4 linked regions of the Drosophila melanogaster genome follow. The protein of the gene in region 3 purifies or fractionates together with the protein of the main gene of each other region. This does not show direct contact. Each region holds a gene or a part of one and is shown on either strand. Other genes may lie near its edges. The genes, in order: Wdr92, CG14641, Prp8 and CG6674.

Region 1 (5,599 bases), on a different chromosome or scaffold from region 3:
CAAATACTGGATGAACTGTGCAAGCATCTCCAGGTGGAGCTAAAAGTTGAGGGTTTACTAGGAGTACGCACCAAATTCCAGCAGAAGGCCCTGCCACAACTCTGCCTCAAAGTTGAGCATCTAAACGAGCAGCAGCCTCTGCCTCCAGCCGTCCAAACAAATGAGACGACCAAATTGCCAAAACTGCTTCTTCTGGAGGATGACACGCGACTGGAGCGGATACGCTTTGTGGAACTGAAGGACAACGAAGTGATGACGCTTCCCAGTGTTCTCCAAGCTCTGGTGCTGGCCAAAGTGTAAGAATGGCTAATGGTGCATAATATTTTTCTGATATACTAAAATCTTTCCTTTACACAGAAAGCAATTGAAACGCTCAACGCCTAAGGATCGCCTGGCGGATGAACAACTGGAGCCGTATACACAAACCCTACTTTACCAGGAACACGGACCATTCCAAGTCCGGCAGTCAGCCCTTCTTCTAAACTGCCTTCAGGAATCGAATCAAAGAAGGACAGTCGAACGCAGCTGGAAACAATGCGAGGAGTGTGTCAAACTGCTTGACACCTCCGAGGAGGAGCTATCGCTGCGATCCCGACTCTCCTACGGTTTCGCCGCCCACTTGAGTCCCAAGTGGCAGGTGCAGCTACAGCTTGTCGACTTGCTGCGATCCTTGGGCATGACCAAAACAGCTCTGGACATCTGTCTTCGCATACACGCCTGGCAGCAGGTGATCGAGTGCTACACGAGTCTGGAACTCCGTCACAAGGCAGCGGAGATCATCAGGCAGGAACTGGAGAAGAAGCCAACGGCATTGCTGTACTGCCTCCTTGGCGATGCTATCGATGATCCTTCGTTCTATGAGCAGGCTTGGTTGTATTCCAAAAAGACAAGTGGAAAAGCTCAAGCCTATTGGGGCAACCATTTCTATAGGAGTGCGGATTATGCCCAGGCAATGGATCACTTCGAGATTTCGCTAGAGATTAACAACTTGCAGGAAGCGATTCTTTTGCGCTGTGGCTACTGTGCAATCCAACTGGAACGCTGGGAGCCGGCTGTTAAATATTATTTGGCTTACACCCACCTGGAACCCAATGGATTCGAATCCTGGAATAACCTAGCCAAGGCCCTGATTAAATTGGGTGACAAACAGCGGGCCCATCGTGTTCTTGGTGAGGCCTTGAAGTGCAACTACAGCAACTGGAAGGTTTGGGAGAACTACATGCTGGTGTCCGTGGATACTTCCCACTGGGACGACGCCATGCGGGCTTACCAGCGCATGGCGGAGCTAAAGCAGCACTACCTCGATCAGGAAGTGCTAACCCGTATTGTTTACGGAGTTTCCAAGGAGGACCCCGCCGGCTCAAGTGCTCTGATCAAAAGACTCATAAAGCTTCTGGGACAGCAGAGCATTCAACATGGTAACGAGCCTCTTGTGTGGGAACTGGCCGCCTTGGTGGCCCAAACGCCACTGAAGAAGGCCGAGAAACTGGTAAAATCGTATCGTGCGTACACACCGAAGCATTTGGGCTGGGAAACCAAGTCGGAGCACGCTTTAAAAGCCCTAGATCTTTGTTTAGAGGTCTGCGATCTCTCAGTGGCGGCCATCACAGAGCACATTCAAGAGGAAAGTGAGGTAATGATTACCTCTCAACTAAATTCAGCCAGACTGGCGGGAACATCTTGTCTGAATGCTTTGAAGAGAGCCATAAATGTGGATGTATCGGCAGAACAGACTGCAAAAGTGGAGCAGCTGGAAAAACGCATCGAAGACCTGACAAAAATTGTCCAGGAACGAATGAATGCGTCTCGATCTTAGTTATACACTATATAAGGTTTTATACTATTTTGTAATTGCAAAACAAATAAAAAGAGTCATTTTTTATTGTACATGAAATAGTTTATTGCTGATATATATTTGTAAGCTAGTTTTGATTTGTAATATAATTCAGCTCAAGCAGATTATCCAGTTTTTCTGATTTTAAAAGCTATTGCGCATTAAGGATTTATTGTCTAGCAATAGGTGCAATGAAAGTGTATTCATAAAAATATAAACCTATGAATTAACCCATCATCCAATATCACAAGTATGAAGCATTTCTTTAATGGGTTTCTTTTGATGTCCACCATCTAAAAAGTGTTTAGTTTGGTGGTAATTAAAACGCGCACGCTTTGATCGAATGCTCCACAGACGGCTAGGCCCAGTTTGTCTGGATGCCAGTCAAAGCAGTGAACCGGCTGAGAGCTCAAAGTGGCTGCACTAAGCATATTAAGGGCTCCAGCAACTCCCAACTTGTTTCCATCAGAGTCATCAATGACCCTCCTGTCGGGATACTCGTACTGCCACAGGCGAATGGAACCAGTTCCGCCGCCCGTGAGAAAGAGATCCCGATTCTGGGGCAGATGACGAACTACCCAAACGGTGGCTTTGGGTCCGCTGATCACGCCATTTGTTCCCACGCTGCGTCCGGCGTTGCGTTCCTCCACGTAACTAAATCCCTTGGTCGGATGTTGGGTTCTCATATCGAAGACAAGGAGACCGCCCTCCAAAGTGGTGACCGCTAGCTTGTTCATGGGAATGTCCCGGCGATCGAACTCCAGTCCACAGATACCATTCTTCATGGTGGCCTCCCAGCGTACGGAAAGGGATCGCAAATCGAATATCTTTAGATCTCCATTATCATAGCCGGCGGCAACGATGCGCTCCTCAGCGTTGTAGGTATTTCCAAAGGCCACGGCCCAGCAGTCCCGGCGGCCACTGCTGTTGTTAACGCCATCGCCCATTTGCGGCGGCGGCGACATGTCCACCACAGGAGCCTGCCCCTGGCGGATATCCCAGACTTTAACGGCGCCGTCACGACTTCCAGTAACGATTTCCGGAGCACCGCAATCGATTTGTGTGCCGCCAATCGCGTCGATGGTGTTGATGATGCCGTTGTGGGCCTTTACATTGTAGACCGGAAGGTCCGGCTGCTCCATATCCCTGCAAAGAACACATGTCAGAGAAGCATCTAATGACTTAAGCGGGATTATGCTTACAGAACTTGCAGCCTGCCCTCGAAATCTCCGATGGCCATGTGGCGGTTCCTGAGCGAAGCTGCTCCGAAGGTGCCGCATTTGAAGGCAACCTTCTTCTCTACGGACTTCACTTTCACCAGCTTATCCTGGTTGAGTTCGTAGATGTCCATGATTCCGTGCCCGTTGGCCTTGGAGCCCAGAATCACAAACTTGGCCGAAAGGGGCACCCATTTCGTATCGTACACCGTGTAGTTGAGTGCCTCGTGGAGGTGCTCAATAAGCTGGGGCTTGTCCATTTCAACGATCTATATTTCCGTCTCAACTTTATGCTAATATTCCAAAAGCGGCCGGTGAAAACTTAAGGATTTATCAAAAACAAGTTGTTTTGTTGTCATGGCTATCTCTTCCTCTTTTTCAGTGTAGCCGTACATGCAGCGCCTGAAATATACCAATCAGCTGACGGAAATATACCAAATCTAATTTTTAAATAGATAAATTATAACATATCCACTAAAATGCAATATTTAAAAAAATAATAACGCTTAACGTTTGTAAAAAGTATATCCCATTACTATAGTTCACATTTTGTACTCATATAATCAAATAATTTAAAATTTACGAAATAATGTGTGTGTACGATAGTTATGCCGATACATTAGAAGGCATCGGGAACAGCTGTTAATGGTGGTAAGCTTAAAAAGCTTTCGCCACTCTGTGAGTTGAATACTTTTTTCTTCAGTTTTACTGGGTCAGTCGGACGCTGTTTTGCTTCTGTCGCGGATTTTCCACATATTTAGTTTTTGGCGCGAGCATCTTTTTTTGGCGTTCGACCCCCCAATAGCAACAACAACAGCAACAGCAGCAACAACTTCATATATAACGACAAAGAAACACTTTTACGTGTGTCGCAAGCGACGCTTTTCTGCATTAAAAAAAAAACGATGAGATATTAAACGTGCGGGGTTAAATAAGCGAAAATAAATATTATTGAAATAACAAAGCGCAGCTTATAGCGTTGGCTATTAATTTGCGGGCCTTTTAGCCGGTTTTATATAAGTGATAATCGTTTTGGCAGAACAAAAACTCGCTAAAGAGTGCTCAAAGTTTAGCATATTTGCGATGCATGCGCCAGAAAAGTGTTAATCAATTTTTTATTGGCAACAAGTGATACAACAATAACAAAGGCGCTATCAAAAGTTGAAGGTGCCAACAAATCGACGGCAGTATAGACGACTACAAGAACAACAACTACAGCAACAGCTGTACTCGTTGGCAACCGAATTGAGTGCCAACTAAAAATTAATGTAGTTTCTCAAAGGTAAAAGCCACAAAGATTCTTCCATTCTCGGCATGTTTTCACATTCATTTGTATTGCCCAACATTTCCTTACTTCCGCCGTTGCCTTTCGATTTATCGTCAATTTTGGGGACAATCACGTTAATTGTGTACTTTTCAGCTTTTTCATTGGCTTTATTGTTTCTGTGTGCCCTCTCTGTTGTTTTCGGTGCACTTGCACTTGACACACACTCATAGTGTATAATATTTAGTATATAAGCGTTATAGTACATCATGTATATAGTACATATGTTTATGTCATTCTTCCGTTTTGGCGACTTTTTGCCAACCTGTCGCATCGCCCGTTCGGAATACCCTATACTTATTGGGATTTGTTGATAAGCCCACCACGCTGGGGAGAACAAATAGTGAATGGAAACTAATTGGTTTTTTGGTCTGAAAAAAAAAAAAAAGTAAATATTATGCAACACGTAAAGTGCACAATTATAAAGGCAATTATTTCTACAAAAATTCCCCTTAACAGTCGACTTGGTCTTTTTGTAAAAATTATTGGTTATGAATACAGAACCAGATTTAAATAAATCTATAATTATATTTTCTTTCTGACAAATATAAAATTCTAGCTTTATACTTTCCCACAACGAAGCGAATAAAACTTGTGAATTACTTATCAATCAATCGGTAATTTACACAGATTATTTTTATACATTATCACTTATACGTGAACTGTAAAGATTGCCAATAGTCGTTGCCTTGGGCTCAAGATTAAAACCCTCCACTTTCACACCTGTTTCTAATTTGGGATTAAAGTTTTCGCAGCTAATAGCACGCAATAGCTGCAATAATAATCTATAGTAATAAATAGGGAAACTGAGGGATTAATGATAGCACTCATATTGTGCCGGGAAATATTTCATATCACGCGCCTATATTTAACTTGCATATGAGGAAGTATACGCGCACATACAGAAACTTATATGTATGTGATTGAAATGTAGAATATTTAATATTTATTTTCACAACTAATGTGTTTTAAAAATCTCTATATTTTAAATAAAACCTTTCTCGAAATAAGCATTACAGCATCGAGTTCTCACATCATTGTTGATCAATCAACGATGTTCCAATTGATTTCATTTGGTTTGTTTCCACTGCGTTGTCCGAAGTTCGTGCGTGCGCACAGTAGGGAAAATTGAAAATGTTGCAGCCCCAATTTTTCCCCTACTTCCCCCCTCCCTCCGCCACACAGAAATAAATAAATGCCGCACAATCGAAATCTAAACAAAGA
Region 2 (5,890 bases), on a different chromosome or scaffold from region 3:
TAGGTAGTCGCGACGTCCTATGTTTGAAGCTTGCTTGTTCTGAACAGCCTCAAGTTTTGGGCACTCCGTGATGCGATGGCCCAGACCACCACAGTAGGTGCAGCCATGCGAGTCACCCAGGTCCAGGTGCTGGTGTTCGGTCTCAGGTGCCAGTTCGTCCAAGAAGTCCGGGACCTCTTGCTTGCCCTCGATTAGCAGGTGCTTCAGGTCGAGCAGAACCGACTGCTCGGTAGTCTTGTTTATCAGCGTCGTAGCCAATCCCTTAGTGTTGGAACGACCTGTGCGGCCAATACGATGCACATAGTTTTCAATATCGTCCGGCATGTCGTAGTTAATAACGTGTTGCACGTTAGGGAAGTCCAGGCCCTTCGATGCCACGTCGGTGGCCACCAGCACATCTTTTTTGCCCACGCGGTAAGCATCGACTGCCCGCGATCGTTCTTCCTGATCCTTTCCGCCGTGAATAGCCACCGCCTCCACGCCTTTCAACAGCAGATACTCATGTATGCAGTCTACATCCTGCTTCTTCTCAGCAAAAATGAGCACGGGCGGCGCGGTCTTCTGTAGGCAGTCCAGCAAATATACCACCTTTGCCTCTTGCTTAACGTACTCAACCTGTTGGGTGACGTTCATTGACGCAGCACCTGCGCGACCCACATTTATTGTGACAGGCTTCACGAGAGCTGATCGAGCAAAGTTCTGGATCTTTTTTGGCATGGTGGCAGAGAATAAAAGTGTCTGTCGCTGGCCTTTGAAGAAAGAGAATATCGTACGAACGTCCTCTTCAAATCCCATGTCAATCATGCGGTCAGCCTCGTCCATGCACAAGTACCGGCACATGTCCAGCGTAAGGATCTTCTTGTCCAGCATATCCATTAGACGACCAGGGGTCGCCACCACAATATGTACGCCGCGTGAGATGACGTCAAGGGCCTCGCTGACCGGCAAACCACCCATGGCCAGGCAGGAACGAATCTCAGGCATTCCGCATGCCTGGAGGTGCTTGCTGTAGTGTTGAATTATCTCGTGTGTTTGCTTGGCCAGTTCGCGGGACGGGCAAATGATCAGGCCGTAGGGGCCCTCGTTACGCTCAAAAGGCAGACTATACTCCTGTTCCAGGGCAAACATGATGACTGGCAGCACGAAGACAAGCGTTTTTCCAGACCCAGTGAAGGCTATTCCAATTAGGTCGCGGCCGGCTAGTACAGTGGGCAGGCCTTGCACTTGGATTGGGGTCGGGTTCTTAATGCCTTTGGCCGCTAAGCCGTTAAGTATACCTTTAGGGAACTTCATTTCCCGGAAGCTGCGAATTGGCGGGCTGGGGGTTTCTCCCTCCACTAGGATCCTCAACTCGTGGCGAACGGCCTCGCGCTCTTCCTCCGACATTTCCCGAATGTAACGCGGCGGTTTCCAAGCTGTTTTAATAGGCTGCTCGTACTGAATCCCCTTCGCCAACTCTGCCACACCCATAAGGGCCTTCTGCTGAGCAATGCTCTCCATAATCTTTTCCTCCTCTCGCAGCTGCTTTTCGACGGCACTCAACTTTTTGGCCTCGGCAATTTTCTTCAGTTCTGTGTGCTGGTCCAGCAGACTAATGTTGTACTTGCGTCCCCAGGTCTCGACATCGTGCGCACCCTGCGAGTCGTCTTCATTCTCATTCTCGCTTGACGACTTGGGCTGGGCCGTTTCCGAAACCAGTTGCACGATCCTGCCCAGCTTTATCATGTGCTGCTTCTTCCGCTCCTTCACCGGTACGTATGGCACGTAGTCCTCGTTGTCCAGGTCGCCTTCCTCCGAGGACTTAGACGACCTCCGATACCGCTTTACGTGCGCCATAGCATTCGATCTATATTTCTGATTTTTGTTTGTTTCGTTTTCGCCTAATTTGACTACAACAAAGGCCACCGTACGACGTTTTAAATTAGGCGAGCCCGAAAAATACTATATTCTAATGGGTATCGATTACAGTTATTAAACAGTGATTCCACTGACAGCTTCTTGCTTATGATATATTCATGGCATGCAGACCGGATAATAGTTTTTTTTTCAATTTGGGCAAAATCTTTCGATTTCGTTTTTAGGTGCTCTGGTTTTCTGAGTTTGAGATTGAGTCTTTCTTTTTTTGTGAAAACCAAGCAACGTGAAAAATGCAACTTTTAGCGCGAAGGTTGCCATACTGTTGGTGAAATATAACAGGCAGGTAAAAATACTTAGTAAATATATTTAAAGCAGGGCCAAAAGTGCTGTTCGTAAATAATGATAATTAATTGAATAACATAAGTGGTCAGAGCGCAGTGAATACGTAACTGCGAACATCGGAATTAAAAGTGCCAAAAACTCTGTGTAAATCGCCCAGAAACATTTTATATGAACTTATGCGTGCTATCAAAAGTGTTTCAGGAACATTTCTGTTAAACGGTTAGCGAACATGAATAGTACAGAATAGTAGAATATCGTATTGATCGGTTTCGGATCAGTCGAATGCAATATATTTTTGTGTGCATTTGGGTATAGATATATATTCTAAGCAGTGTGAATATGCTATTAAATTCAATAAATTATATCGATTGCTGACTTTGAACTAACTGTCTGCTTCTGGCTCAACTTATCGATATTGGTATATCACTCGCGACACACCACCATTTTCGACAAGTAGAAAGCGAATGAGCATTGTCTAAATTTAGCTCGGATTTTAAGTGCAAGGTACATAAGTGCCGCTGCTATGTCTATGTCAAAAACGACTAACACCTATAACCGGCAGAACTGGGAAGATGCTGAATTCCCAATTCTGTGCCAAACTTGCCTTGGCGACAATCCGTACGTGCGGATGATTAAAGAGCGGTTCGGCAAGGAATGCAAGATATGCACGCGTCCATTCACAATATTTCGATGGTGTCCTGGTGCTCGTATGCGCTTCAAAAAGACGGAGATATGTCAAACGTGTGCGCGCCTGAAGAACGTGTGTCAGACCTGCCTCTTGGACCTGGAGTACGGACTGCCGATTCAAGTACGAGATGCGGCGCTCAAAGTGGCTGACAATATGCCACAAAGCGACGTTAACAAGGAATACTACATCCAAAACATAGACGCCCAGCTGCAGGACGGAGATGGCACGGAGGCGGCAGGAGCTGTCGGTCGATCCCTCGCCGCCAACGAGATGTTGTCCAAGCTTGCGCGCACAGCACCCTATTACAAAAGAAATCGGCCGCACATCTGCTCCTTTTGGGTTAAGGGCGAGTGCAAGCGTGGAGAGGAGTGCCCATACCGCCACGACAAGCCCAACGAGCCGGACGATCCGCTATGTGAGCAAAACATCAAGGACAGGTACTACGGACGCAACGATCCTGTGGCCGAGAAGATCATGAAGCGTGCAGCCTCGCTTCCCACACTCGAGCCGCCGGAGGACCGCAACATCACAACTCTCTATGTGGGGAACCTTCCTGAAGAAATCACGGAACCCGAGCTGCGAGATCAGTTCTACCAGTTCGGCGAAATTCGATCAATTGCGCTGGTGCCACGCCAGCAGTGCGCTTTTGTGCAATACACCAAAAGAAACGCTGCCGAGCTGGCTGCTGAGCGGACCTTTAATAAACTGGTGATCCAGGGCCGGAAGGTGAGCATTAAGTGGGCTCACTCTCAGGCAAAGCAGGGCACCGCTGCAAAGACAGACAGACGCTTCGACTTGGCCGGCATTCCACCGCCTAGCGCGAAGCCCAACGACTACTTCAATCTTCGCCAAGAGCAAATCAATGTCATGCCCGCCGGCATGAAGCTGCATCAGTTGCCATCAAATCTAGTTCCGGCGTCGGCTTACCAAATGTATGGTCAGCCTACTTATGCAGCTCCCTACGGAAACGCCACTTCCACAGCCCTTTCTTCCTCGGGTGTCAATTTGGATTCCATATCGATTCCTCCGCCACCGGGTCAAGTACCGTATCCAAGTCAGGACGCCAGTCGGATGGGAGCTGTTAAAAAGTAGGAAAACCCTGTGGTCTACAATGGTTCCAATTCAATAAATCATTTTTATAAAATTAAATACAAACTTTTTAAAGTGGTCAGTTCCATAAAAATGACTTAATATTAATAGAATTTATCCGTATGGACGAAATTGTTTTCGATTCGAATTGTTAAGAAAAAACACCAAACAATTAGAGAGGAGAAGATAATAATAAATGATTTAAACTCTAAAAAAAAAAAGAAAAAAAGAACAAATTTTCGTCACAAAAGCTTATATCAAAACTTTTGTACATATGTATGTTGATGTGCGTTCGTCACTCGTTTTTACCTTTAATAAATGCTTTTCTTTGATTTGGACGATATTTGGGATTAAAAAAAGTACACCAATGCACATGTACATATGTAAGTTCATTCTTCAGTATTTATAGGGGAACTTAACATTGGGATTATGACTACCTCCCTGCATTCCATTCATTCAGATTTCATCAGCTCATTACTGATCATTAAAAATCTCGATCAAATTAATCACAGGTTAATTTGTATTAAAAAAAAAAACCATGACCTGAACCTATGTTCTAGGAAATCATCGCATAGCGCAAAATCAAAATCACGCATAAGCGCTATAAATGATAGCTCAATTCATCTCTCTACACCTCTTTTTATTCACTTAATCCTCTATCAATTTTAATGAAAAAGTGAAATTTCAGTCATTTATTAATAAAAATGTATTTTCTTAATTAGACTTATTTAAATTATGCATAGGATTTAAATTTAAGAATACAAATACATATATATGTATGTGAAATTCCAGAGTCTTTGGCGTCCTGTCCTACGGAGTTAGGACCAGCTTCTTTTCAGTTCACATGTCCGATTTACCTTAAGGTAAAATAATGTATAATTATGTATACAAAAACGAGTTAAACCAATTTACCTTAAATTATCGTTTCTGTGAGTAGTGTTTGTTGCTTATTGTAAAATAAATCCATTACCTGTAATTATTATTGAATTAAATTCCAAAATATTTACAATTTTTTTTTAAAACAAGCACTCAAAATCGCGTCTACTTCTCACAAAAGTCTATAGGCAAGTGATCTGCAAACATGTTCTATGTACATTACAAATTTAAAATTTAAATTTAAATTTGCAATTAAATAAAAAATCGCATACTGAGACCTTCGGTTAGAAATTAAAAAGCGATGAATTTGTTTTCAAAATCATCGCTTATTCCTCGTTATGATTAAGAACATTAGCATCGCTTTAAAATTTTAAGAGAGAGATGATGTAATATTTTTTAATAGCGATGAATTGTGGGACTACAGGGTAGGTAAAGGTTACATATGTACAGGTGCGAGCAGTGCAAATATGTTTATTCTAATGAAATCTTAGACTAACTGTAAATTATATAATGGCTATATTTCTTTTACCCGTCACTCTTACTCTTCTTTACTTCCAGAAAGGGGGTTTTGTCTTAGCTAAACATATGATTAATGTATTCTATGTTTTTTCAATATTCATTCCAATATACAATTTTACAATTAATGGTTTTGCAACAGCTATTTTGAAGTTAATTATTGCTTGTTTTGTAGTTTTTACCGATAAATCACACGTGTGCAAGCGATCGCTTATTAAAACAGTAATAAGTAATAATATTTAAAGTAACGACCAAACGATTGGGAATAATCTTTCCAGCGATTTAAACCTTGAAATAAAAAGTAAGTGTCATCCCCGTATGATTATGCGCACATTCGCAGGGCGACGCGTGCACCTAGGCGAGAGTTTTAAAACTTGTTCAGCGGATCTTGATCATTACATTCTCAAGTCTGTCGTACAGCACGTTTAAGCCCGCTGATAGTAAATCAGAGCAATGGCAACCGTGTTTCTTGGAACTGTCGTGCACACCAAGTCGTTCAGCGAGTTTGAGTCCTTTGAAGGA
Region 3 (6,850 bases):
AGCCAGTTTAAAAATCAAAGTGTCATGATCACATTAAGCTTTAAATGTAATTATTGCACTTTTGGCTTCAATGATTCAAAAGCATAGCTACATTTCTAAAGAATATTAACCAATCCATATATAGTAACTTACAGAGAGTTATGCTTTGTATCTGTATCTATGATTTGATGAGCCTGATAGATAGTATCTCAAGTTGACTACTCTTTCCGATTAAATTGTAAAGTTTTGGGTAATATTTTTGAAAAGAACTGTGAGGTTTGAGTACTTTCCCAGCTAATCTTGGCCCGAAAATCATTCAACAGCTGTTCACTCCACTGTGCGTCTGTCTGTCTGCCCATTAAATGAACGATAAAACATGCCGAATATATTTACATATATACCCCATCTATGTGATATGGTGGCCAGGGGCTGTGGGCTGTGGGCACTCGCATGAGGAGATAACGATATAAACGGCGGCGGAAGAGTCTCCGAAAAACAGTCGAGACTGGAGCGTCGCCGGGTTTACACGATCCGAGAGCTTTGCATCGCAGAAACAGAAGAAGAAGAAGGCATTGAAGTCCATATCCTATACCGAAGCTATCATGTTGAAGGCGGTGAGTGTGTGGTTCCAAGGGGCGGACCTAATCTAATCGCCGGTTCAGATATGAAAGTGGCTTCAATTTAATTTACTATCAATACCCATCGATTCACCTTGATTACTCCGGATGTTTGGCCCGCTGCAGATTATCGTTTTTGCCACTATCTTGGTGGCCGTGGCCATGGCCATGCAGCCACTGGAGGACAATGAGCGAACCCATCATCTGAACCACAAGCGCCAGTTGTCGCAACAGCACCACCACCACCACCAAAAGCTCCAGGAGGTGAGGCATTCGGGCCATGATAGTCTGAAACATGGTGGTTCCCACGTTAAGGAGCATCAAGCGCATCACTCTGAGCGAAAGGCCAGGCAGAGCCACAAGGAGCCGGGCCACAAGAAGAGTCACCACCAGAAGGAGCACCGCCAGCAGCAGGACAACCACACCCGCAAATCCCGATCGCATTCCAAGGGCAGCAAGCAGCATCACAAGCGGCACACGGGATCGCGTCGCCACTAGGATAATCCTGTATCCTGTGGCCAGGATATATTCTATTTAAACTCTAGCCAATGGATTCCTTATGCGAGGATTAAACTCCGAATACAGTAAACACTCGTATAATTGCATGTATGGCAACAGTAAAGCCAATCTATTTAAATGTTTACAAAACTACTGTGAAATATAAGCCATGACCAAATAAACACACATTTCATAAATGATATTAATATCCACAAGCAGCTTCAACTTTTAATAATTTGGAACACTTGATGTAGGAAATGCATTTAACTTGGATTTTAAGTTGAAAAACAGGTAGTATTTCAGAGAATTATGAGTTTTAAATAGTTTATGGCCGCAATAACTAACTTCTATAGTATGGTTTTCTTTTGAAATTTTACAAAGAGTTATATACTATATAAACTTCTGGCTGATATCCATTGTATAGACCAGCTTTCTTGTGACCCCGTTTATGGCCTGAAATTTGGCCATGTGGATCGTTAAAGATAGGTCCAACTAAAGGTTCAGATGTGTGTAATTACTCGACTTGGCCAACTCGGAATTTTGCTGGCCGGCTTATGTATGTTACGTTAGCCGCCTCAATTTCTTTGGAAGTTCAAAAAACAAAAAAGAAATCCGGTTTTGGACAATTGAAATTTGAAAATAATAAACCACACATGCGAGCGTAGTCGTACGTAAAGTGTTTTTTGTTTTTGTTTTGTTTTTATTGCAATAAAGCCGGTGTTAATTGTGCTCTGGGGTCAAAAACTGCCGCTGACGTCATCAACTCGTCGTTGCAAGACAGTGAAAGGGTTAAAATTTCAAAACTGGGGGGCTTGCTTGTATAACTTCTTTGGTCACTAGTGCGATTACATAGGATTTTGTGGATTAAGGAACGTATGTCCATATGTCTGAAACTTCTTGCTTAAGGAACGTTTTTCGGTCTGGCATCATAGTATTATCCCCAAACTGGGTAAATTCGGGGACGATAGAATCCGCCTCCGTAGGAGCGATATCCGCCGTAGCCGCCGTAACCGGAATATCCGCCGTACTTGTAGCCACCTCCATAGCCGCCGTAGTAAATTGGCGATGGAGCTGCATAGTAGCCGTAGCCAATGGAGTCCGCGGTGGAGAGATCAGCCTCCTCAGCGGGTTTCTTGTCCTGCCAAGCGAATGGATTTTGTTGGTTGGTTTTGAAATGGAAAAACTAAAGATATGACCTACCTCTATAGGAGCTGCGCTGATGAATCCGATAATAGCCAGGCACAAAAGGATGGAAAATAACTGAAAATGTTCACAACATTTACTCATTATGATAGAAACACTTTTTGTTTGTGTGTAATACCTTTGCCATTGTTGCTTTTATTTGCGAAATTTAACGGGGATGCACTCTAGATTTTATGTTTTTCTCTCAAATTAGCAACTTTTCCCGATCGTGTTCTGGCCAGAAGCGTTGTTGTCCGTAAACTGTGATCCCCAGCGACCTGCCGACAATATTTATAGTGGCCCAAAACGTCCCGGGGATCGATTTTGCACATGATCATTGATTGGACAAACATTCGGGAGTCTGGGGATGTCGTTACCCGATGCGAAATGAGGTGTTTCATTATCACAGATGACTCGATGGGATCTTCCAATTCGGTTATTTGAATTTCTAAGCTACAGTGAGCATTAGTTAATGGCCAAAGAAAAAGTTATTTAGTGTTTTATTTATTCGGTTTGTTGTTAGCTAAAGTCGACTGTGTGTTCTTATTTTTACCAGTCATCAACAATAATATTGACGCACTACACTAATTAAGTTCCTAATTATTAATATTAACACATTTGTTGACGAGCTGATTCATTGATTTAATTACAAGGATTTAGCCTTAATTAAAAATGCTAATGTCTCGATATTTTTTACTACTACAATACAAAGTAATTTAAGTGAATAAGGCTAATTAGTTTTAGTCGTCGCAGTTTTGGTGAATTTGTAATATATTCCCCAATAACACCGTTATTTAAATTTTCAAATTTGCTCGCACTTTGTGTGGTTATCTTGACTGCTTTTTACCACTAGACTGTTTAGCAATTCACCTAATCTCTCGATAGACGATAGATGTCTTATCGATTGAGTGATGTGACCGTTCTACTATTCTATAAATGGCTGCCGCATGAAAAAGTAAACCTCTCGTTTTGCGAACCGGAAAAATTGTGAATTGCGGCCAAAGAAAGGCAGAAAAAGTGCCAAATAGGCAGTACAGTTGCAAATTAACTGCCAGGTAAGATATTCAAACCAAGATTAGCTGGGGGAAAAGCGAAATTTACGCTTTTTCACAGCGTGGTGAAAATTGCAAAAGACCGCGACGTCGGCGGCGGCATTTCGATTTCTCCCCCTGAAACAAAACGTGTCTGTGTGTCGTAAAGTGTATGTTTTTCGTCGTTTATTGATTAGGATAAGTGCCGCGGAACGATGTCCATTCCGCCGTACATGATACCACAAAATGCGTGGGCAGCCCAGCTGATGGCCCAGCAGGCCTACGCGGCTGCCCATGCTCAGCAGGCTCAACTGCACGCCCAGCAGCAGATGGCCAACCAAATTCAGCAGATTCCGCCACCGGGGGCTCCGCTGCCGCCGGCCGGTGGCCATACCAACGGTATACCCATCCCGGTGGGAGGTCAGGGACCCGGATTGGGCCAGATTCCCACGCCCAAGCCGGACATACTCACCGAGGAGAAGCTGCAGGAGAAGGCGCTTAAATGGCAGCATCTGCAGTCCAAGCGATTCGCTGAGAAGCGCAAGTTTGGCTTCGTGGATACCCAGAAGGAGGATATGCCGCCGGAGCACATCAGGAAGATCATTCGCGATCACGGAGATATGACGTCGCGCAAGTATCGTCATGACAAGCGAGTATATCTCGGCGCCCTGAAGTACATGCCACATGCTGTGCTCAAGCTGCTAGAGAACATGCCAATGCCATGGGAGCAGATCCGGGATGTCCAGGTGCTGTACCACATCACTGGAGCCATTACCTTTGTCAATGAGATTCCCTGGGTTATTGAGCCCGTCTACATAGCACAATGGGGGTAAGTTGACTTTAACTTGTCCTCGTGGACACAACTGACGTTAAACACTTCCGCAGTACAATGTGGATCATGATGCGGCGTGAGAAACGCGATCGTCGCCACTTTAAGCGCATGAGATTCCCGCCATTTGACGATGAAGAGCCGCCTCTAGACTATGCCGACAACGTGCTGGACGTGGAGCCCTTGGAGGCCATTCAAATTGAGCTGGACAATGACGAAGACAATGCTGTATACAAATGGTTTTATGACCATCGTCCTCTAGTGGATACACAGTGAGTTTTGATTTGTCATTTATATCTGATCTTGTTTTGATTCATTTATTACCATCTAAGGTTTGTGAACGGCACTACCTACCGAAAGTGGAATCTTTCCCTGCCTCAGCTAGCCACGCTGTATCGATTGGCCAATCAATTGCTCACCGATCTAGTCGACAATAACTTCTTTTATTTGTTTGACCCAAAAAGTTTCTTCACCGCCAAGGCTCTTAATATGGCCATTCCAGGAGGACCTAAGTTTGAACCCCTCATTAAGGACCACAATGTTGGGTAAGACAATGCATACCCTAAATACTTGTTAAAATGTAATTCCTGCTTTTATTTAATTTTAGGGACGAGGATTGGAACGAGTTCAATGACATTAACAAAGTCATTATCCGGCAGCCAATTCGCACGGAATACCGCATTGCCTTTCCTTACTTGTACAACAATATGCCACACTTTGTGCATTTGAGCTGGTAAGAGTCCACATTCTTCAAAAATTACCATTCTAAAATCTTATTTACGTGGTTAGAAACGTTTCCAAGTGATCAGCCTCTCTGGAAATGCTTCATGCCGCGTTAGAAAAACGACGAGCTCCCAGGTTACTGCCAAATTTGCGATAAAACGGGAGCTGCAATGAATATGTTCGTGGCGATTGTTAAGAATTAATCGTGACTGCTGATAGTTGCATACATATAAACTCATTTGTAGCTTAGAGGATCCACATGACCACATGATGTACTTTGTCTATTTCAGGTATCACACTCCCAACGTGGTCTACATCAAGACCGAAGATCCCGATCTGCCTGCATTTTACTTTGATCCGCTCATCAATCCCATATCCCATCGCAATGCAAACTCGAAGATTCAGGAGCCCCTACCTGATGACGACGAGGACTTTACTCTTCCGGACGACGTGCAGCCGTTCCTGCAGGACACTCCCCTGTACACTGACAACACTGCAAACGGAATCGCCTTGCTGTGGGCACCCCGCCCCTTTAACATGCGCTCTGGTCGCTCCCGTCGTGCCATCGATGTGCCGCTGGTCAAGTGCTGGTACAAGGAGCATTGTCCACCTGGCCATCCGGTTAAGGTGCGCGTTAGCTACCAGAAACTGCTCAAATACTATGTGCTCAATGCCCTAAAACACCGCAAACCAAAGCCACAAAAGAAACGGTGAGTTTTATTTAAATCAAACTATAGAAACGTTTTGAATTGTATCCTTACTTTGCAGCTACCTCTTCCGTTCGTTTAAGGCCACAAAATTCTTCCAGACCACAACTCTGGATTGGGTTGAGGCTGGACTGCAAGTTTGTCGTCAGGGATATAACATGTTGAATCTATTGATTCACCGAAAAAATCTTAACTACTTGCATTTAGATTACAATTTCAACTTGAAGCCCGTTAAAACTCTGACCACCAAGGAGCGTAAGAAGTCGCGATTCGGAAATGGTAAGCAGTTAAATTTCTAAAAATTTCCCTTTTATCAATTCCTTTCATTCCTATTAGCTTTCCATTTGTGCCGTGAGATCCTGCGTCTGACCAAGCTAATCATTGACTCTCATGTTCAGTATCGGCTAAACAATGTGGACGCCTTTCAGTTGGCTGACGGACTGCAGTACATATTCGCCCATGTTGGCCAGCTGACTGGCATGTATCGCTATAAATACAAGCTGATGAGGCAGATTCGAATGTGTAAGGATCTGAAACATTTGATATACTATCGCTTCAACACGGGGCCCGTGGGCAAGGGACCCGGATGTGGCTTTTGGGCACCTGGATGGCGAGTCTGGCTGTTCTTTATGCGCGGCATCACTCCGCTACTGGAACGCTGGCTGGGCAATCTATTGTCGCGTCAGTTCGAGGGTCGTCACTCCAAGGGTGTGGCCAAGACGGTGACTAAGCAGCGTGTTGAGTCCCACTTTGATCTGGAGTTGCGTGCCTCCGTGATGCACGATATTGTGGACATGATGCCCGAGGGCATCAAGCAGAACAAAGCTCGTACCATTTTGCAGCATTTATCGGAGGCATGGCGTTGCTGGAAAGCGAACATTCCGTGGAAGGTGCCTGGTCTACCCATTCCCATTGAGAATATGATCCTGCGTTACGTGAAAATGAAAGCCGACTGGTGGACAAACACGGCTCACTATAATCGGGAACGTATACGACGTGGAGCAACCGTCGATAAGACGGTGTGCAAGAAGAATCTGGGGCGACTAACGCGACTCTATCTGAAGGCGGAGCAGGAGAGGCAGCACAACTACTTAAAGGACGGTCCGTACATATCACCGGAGGAGGCTGTGGCTATTTACACAACCACGGTCCATTGGCTGGAATCACGTCGCTTTGCGCCCATTCCCTTCCCACCACTTTCATACAAACACGATACCAAGCTGCTAATATTGGCCCTTGAGAGGCTAAAAGAGGCGTATAGCGTTAAGTCCAGGCTGAATCAAA
Region 4 (5,174 bases), on a different chromosome or scaffold from region 3:
ATATAATATATATATTGAAAATCTTATCTTTATTGTAATTTGTTCTTTCTTTCTCTCTCCTACCAAAGCTCCGGAATGAGCCGCTGGGAGCACTCACCCCTTATGTGGGTGTCGTTGACGGTCCCGAGGTAAAAAAATCGAAAAAGATACATGGTGGGGATAGTGCCATATTGGGCACATATAAGATGCAATCACGTTTCAACCGAGGCGTTTTGCTAATGGTTAACATAATGGACTATCCGGATCAAAACCGTCGACGGATCGGAGCCGAAAAGGACAGCAAGTCGTTGATACACTTGTTTCAAGAACTGAATTTTACGATTTTCCCCTATGGGAACGTGAATCAGGATCAGTTCTTTAAACTTCTGACAATGGTGACCTCCTCGTCGTATGTGCAGAATACCGAGTGTTTCGTAATGGTACTGATGACACACGGCAACAGTGTGGAGGGAAAAGAGAAGGTGGAGTTTTGCGATGGATCTGTGGTCGATATGCAGAAGATCAAGGACCATTTCCAGACGGCCAAATGTCCTTATTTGGTGAACAAGCCGAAGGTGCTTATGTTTCCCTTTTGCCGCGGCGATGAATATGATTTGGGCCATCCAAAGAATCAAGGCAATCTCATGGAGCCAGTGTATACGGCGCAAGAGGAGAAGTGGCCTGACACCCAGACGGAGGGCATACCCAGCCCGAGCACCAATGTGCCAAGTCTTGCCGACACTCTGGTCTGCTATGCTAATACGCCGGGCTATGTTACCCACCGCGATCTCGACACGGGCAGCTGGTACATCCAGAAGTTTTGCCAAGTGATGGCCGATCATGCCCACGACACAGACCTTGAGGATATCCTAAAGAAGACGAGCGAAGCCGTGGGTAATAAGCGCACCAAGAAGGGTTCCATGCAGACAGGTGCCTATGATAATCTTGGCTTTAATAAGAAACTCTACTTCAATCCCGGGTTTTTCAACGAATAGTTGCCGCCACTGGACATTTTATCATTCCGGATGCATTTTTAACCGCATTTATGTTCTTATCGTCGCATTTAGTATGTCTTTTAGATTATGTGTTCTGTGCTCGCGTGCTATAAAATGTTTATATTGTAACAAATACTCATTCAAGTATTCTTCTAATACGTATTGCATACCTCATTTAAAGGTACGAAATTATGTAATTTATGTGATAACTGCCAGAAATCTACAAATATTATAATACAGAGTTCCAGTATATACACAGCCAGATTTTTGAAATCGAACATTTAGGCAAAATGTAAAGCAATTTTCCAGTCTGATTTTTGAGTGTGTACACTTACAAAATAAACGATGATATTTCACAACAAACCGCAGTTTGTATATAATTAAAATCTATTTACATTTCTAAAATTTCATTGGGACACTAATTATTATATAATATAATCTTAGGATCATACATTTTAACCTAATCATCCTGCTCATCCTCCTCCGCCAAGTGGGACAGTTGTAGTTTTCCCGCTGCACGGCTCTGTTCCGATTTGGTTTTGCATTTCTTTGGCTTATGCGGCTTTTGGCCAATTACATACTCAGGCATCACCAGCTTGGAACCTCTTAACTGCGGCTTATCCAGCTCCACATCATCCACCTCCTGCTGTTTGAGGCTCTTGAGCTTGCGGCTGAGTTTGCTGGTCCTCTTGAACTCGATCTTGCCATCTGTAGGTGGAGATTCGTTATCGACGCCCTCAGCCTCGCGCTGTGCATCCATTTGTCGCAGGAAGGACAAGGCGGCGGCGGAGTTGCTCTGTTCGGAAATGTCCACATCAGACAGGGAGTACTTCTTCCATTTGTGCGGGTTTACCTAGAGAGTAGGTCAAACGTTTAGGGTGGGGACAACTAATTGCAGAGGGATGGTCTGTCACCTGGTAATCTGGCGTTTTTCTTGGCTTCAAACAGCGTCCAATGGGGAGTTCGGGCTTCTTGAAAATGCTCTCCTTGCCGCGCATTCGTCGCAGTCTTCCATCCTCCGCATCGAGGCCAGTAACAATGCTGCGACCCTGGCGGTAGTTCATCACCTGTCCGGATTCGTTTCCGGATTTGTTTCCTCGATCGAGGGCATTGATGGAAAACGCCTTGGCCTTGCTCTGATCCAAGGCAGTTCCCCGCAACTCTTTGCTCGCATCGTCGAGACATGCGAAAAGAGCGTCTCGTTTGGCTGAAAATTCCTGCATTTTACTTAGTTAAACTGCACAAATGGCATTTGCTTAAATGCGTTGTGTTTGCAGAGGTAACTTTGTTTGCTGCAAATCAGCTGTTTTCACAGTTACCGTTTTGTATTTTCATCTAGTATTTTAGTAACGTGCAGTATTTTTAGACTATTAAGGCAGCTATTAAACCATTTCCTTTTCTATGGATTAGTCTATACTATGTGAGTTAACTGACATCATAGGGTTAAAATACTTTTTAAACGTAAATTAACAGATTTGAATTTATCCCATTCTATTTCAATATAGTAGCAGTATGATTGGTATTCTCTGCAAACTAAGATATCTTGGAATTTCGGCCCACGCAAACTCTGGTCAGACTGGTGCCGGTGTATAAACTTAGTGTGGAAGAAGTGTGCTCATTCGCGAATATAAATAAATTAAACAGCCAGGTGGATATTGAATAAAACTAACCCAAAGGCGTGACCATGTGTATAGTGTGCCTGTCTCAAAGGACGATTCATCGAACAGCTTCTATTGAAAGGCCTTTCAGACAGCTTAGTGGAACTTCTAACCCCATGTGGTTTTTGGTGGCAACTAAAGTCACTTGTGCCAGGGTCTTTTAAATAAATGTTAAAACTAGAAAAGCAGAAGTTTTAGATTGCCAGAAGAATATAAATATATTTGATTGCAATATTTTTATTTGTGCTTTTGTTAATTTTTGCAAATATCCCACTTATTACCACAAAAAGAGCACAAGAAATTGTATCCCTGGTTTCATTCAGTGTTGAATAACGGCCACACCCAGAGGACAGCTGTTCTTTATTGTGATAGCAATCCAAATAGGGAGAAAAAACATTTAATTCGCTGCTGGAAACTAAAATTAAACCCTTTGACAAGTAGTTTTAATTATTATTTTCAAATTTCATTTATAGTTTAATGCTTATAGTTTCCTGATTTCGTACTACCCCGTTAGAATGTCCCTGCAAACGGGCTTGGCTTTCATTTTCACCATATTAGCCTCTGTTAGTATCGTCGCAGCAATTATTTTGTTGGGTAAGCAGGCGCCCGCAGACGATCACGTTATAATGGAAACAATTTTCTACGATCCGAGCAACAAGTCATATTGAAATTTGTCTATTTTGCAGGCTGGTTCCTCATCTGGAAGGCGTTTCTATCGAAATTTCGTCTGGTTCGAGAGCTGTTGGGTCAGGAGGAGCCGGAGGATCAGCAACCACTTGCTTGGGATCATCAGAATCAACAGCCACACCACCACGGCAGAGCCAGGAAAGCTCGCCGAGACTAGGAAGCACATCTACACAGCCTCACCATGAACATCCGCTGCGCAAAACCGGAAGACCTAATGACCATGCAGCACTGCAATCTGCTGTGTCTACCCGAAAACTACCAGATGAAGTACTACTTTTACCACGGACTAACCTGGCCTCAGCTTAGCTACGTGGCCGTTGACGACAAGGGCGCCATTGTGGGCTATGTCCTGGCCAAGATGGAGGAGCCGGAGCCCAATGAGGAGAGCCGCCATGGGCACATCACCTCGCTAGCGGTCAAGCGTTCCTATCGGCGATTGGGCCTGGCCCAGAAGCTCATGAATCAGGCCTCCCAGGCCATGGTCGAGTGCTTCAATGCCCAGTACGTGTCCCTGCACGTGAGGAAGAGCAATCGGGCTGCCCTGAACCTCTACACCAACGCCCTCAAGTTCAAGATCATCGAGGTGGAGCCCAAGTACTATGCCGATGGCGAGGATGCATATGCCATGCGACGCGACCTCAGCGAGTTTGCCGATGAGGATCAGGCCAAGGCTGCGAAGCAGTCAGGCGAGGAGGAGGAGAAGGCGGTCCACAGATCCGGCGGACATGGCCACTCGCACAACCACAGCGGTCACGATGGCCATTGTTGCTGAACACTTTCGCTGCCGGCGCTTGCTGGCTTCGACGTTTTTTGCATTTTTGTGCATTAGGGTTTTGTAATTATTTAACAATAAAAAACGTAACTAAAATTAAAACAAAAGTAATGACAAAAAGATAATGTTTTTAACAATAAAGGGTTTGAAGGCCATTAAATCAGTAATAATAATACTATTTACGGTTTCTGTTTCTAATTGCCAATCTAAAATGCATAAATGCATTAAACACCTATTAAGACGAATTTTTTGATTTTATTTTGAGTAGAGTTTTAGAAGAGAGTGGTTTTCTAAACTCCCCAAATAATTTATAATATCTACCATTCTTTTGTGCTAGAGCTCTGGTTAACCCAAGTAATGCGAAAATTTATGCCAAATGTGGGTTAAAAAATGTGCGCTTTTTGTAATGTGAAAAGTTTGTTGGCCCGAAAAGTTGGCCAAGCGGAAAGATGTCTTTATGTGCGAAGTGTTGACTTTCGCGCCAACTTTTGGGTGCCATCAAGTTGTAGGTGTCGTGTTGGTGGAGAAACTTTTATGGCATATGAAAATAGCTAGCAACCGTTCCCACTAAACCGATTTTCCAGTAACGGAGCTTTCTAATTTCCCAGTTTCCCGCGGCGAGCTCCTTTTGCGCATGCTCAGTGGAACATCTGCGGCAACAGCTGTTCGCTAGCCACGTGGAGTACGGTACTTTTCCGGATGGCGCCAAAGAGAGAGAGCGAAAGTACCGCAATCACAGCTGAGCTGAGATGCTGGCTTTTCGCGTATTTCGCCGTTCTTAAACTCAGTTCGTGAGGCGCTGGCTGAGCAAAAACAACATGTATGCGGATGTTTTATCAGTTTTCGGCTAGCTACGTAAAACGTGCGCAAAACCCAAATCGGAACTTCAGCTATTGTAGTGAAAAGTGCTAATAAAACCCTAACGGTAAAACCACTCTTTACAACGGGAGAAGAGGAAGAACGAAGGAAGTAGTGCTACTGCTACTGATGGGTTATAAAAAACTAACGGGAAATGACTGGCATTTATTATGATTGTGGAAAAAACGCCCTGCCAAATCAATAAAAAACGCGGAAACAACAAAC

The links.
Region 1: the proteins of Prp8 (region 3) and Wdr92 purify together in Drosophila melanogaster (affinity purification with mass spectrometry, with the first as the bait; one large-scale study listed by BioGRID). This does not show direct contact.
Region 2: the proteins of Prp8 (region 3) and CG14641 purify together in Drosophila melanogaster (affinity purification with mass spectrometry, with the first as the bait; one large-scale study listed by BioGRID). This does not show direct contact.
Region 4: the proteins of Prp8 (region 3) and CG6674 purify together in Drosophila melanogaster (affinity purification with mass spectrometry, with the first as the bait; one large-scale study listed by BioGRID). This does not show direct contact.

What each region holds. Positions count from the first base shown.
Region 1 is NT_037436.4:17,905,966-17,911,564, reverse strand, and holds Wdr92 (WD repeat domain 92), read right to left. Parts: upstream 3,423-5,599; 5' UTR 3,312-3,422; coding exon 3,037-3,311; intron 2,981-3,036; coding exon 2,128-2,980; 3' UTR 1,882-2,127; downstream 1-1,881. Other genes in the region: CG5290 (uncharacterized protein), read left to right, coding at 1-296, 358-1,816.
Region 2 is NT_033777.3:4,229,075-4,234,964, reverse strand, and holds CG14641 (uncharacterized protein), read left to right. Parts: upstream 1-2,622; 5' UTR 2,623-2,722; coding exon 2,723-3,979; 3' UTR 3,980-4,186; downstream 4,187-5,890. Other genes in the region: abs (abstrakt), read right to left, coding at 1-1,836; DhpD (dihydropterin deaminase), read left to right, coding at 5,822-5,890.
Region 3 is NT_033778.4:12,159,366-12,166,215, reverse strand, and holds the start of Prp8 (pre-mRNA processing factor 8), read left to right. Parts: upstream 1-3,217; 5' UTR 3,218-3,331; intron 3,332-3,504; 5' UTR 3,505-3,522; coding exon 3,523-4,136; intron 4,137-4,192; coding exon 4,193-4,408; intron 4,409-4,468; coding exon 4,469-4,681; intron 4,682-4,743; coding exon 4,744-4,869; intron 4,870-4,912; exon of another isoform or gene 4,913-5,090; intron 5,091-5,149; coding exon 5,150-5,569; intron 5,570-5,627; coding exon 5,628-5,845; intron 5,846-5,902; coding exon 5,903-6,850. Other genes in the region: CG34232 (uncharacterized protein), read left to right, coding at 705-1,094; CG13177 (uncharacterized protein), read right to left, coding at 2,029-2,232, 2,295-2,354, 2,416-2,424.
Region 4 is NT_037436.4:9,969,776-9,974,949, forward strand, and holds CG6674 (uncharacterized protein), read right to left. Parts: upstream 2,280-5,174; 5' UTR 2,198-2,279; coding exon 1,889-2,197; intron 1,828-1,888; coding exon 1,435-1,827; 3' UTR 1,376-1,434; downstream 1-1,375. Other genes in the region: Dronc (death regulator Nedd2-like caspase), read left to right, coding at 69-974; CG42455 (uncharacterized protein), read left to right, coding at 3,148-3,226, 3,319-3,476; vnc (variable nurse cells), read left to right, coding at 3,501-4,091.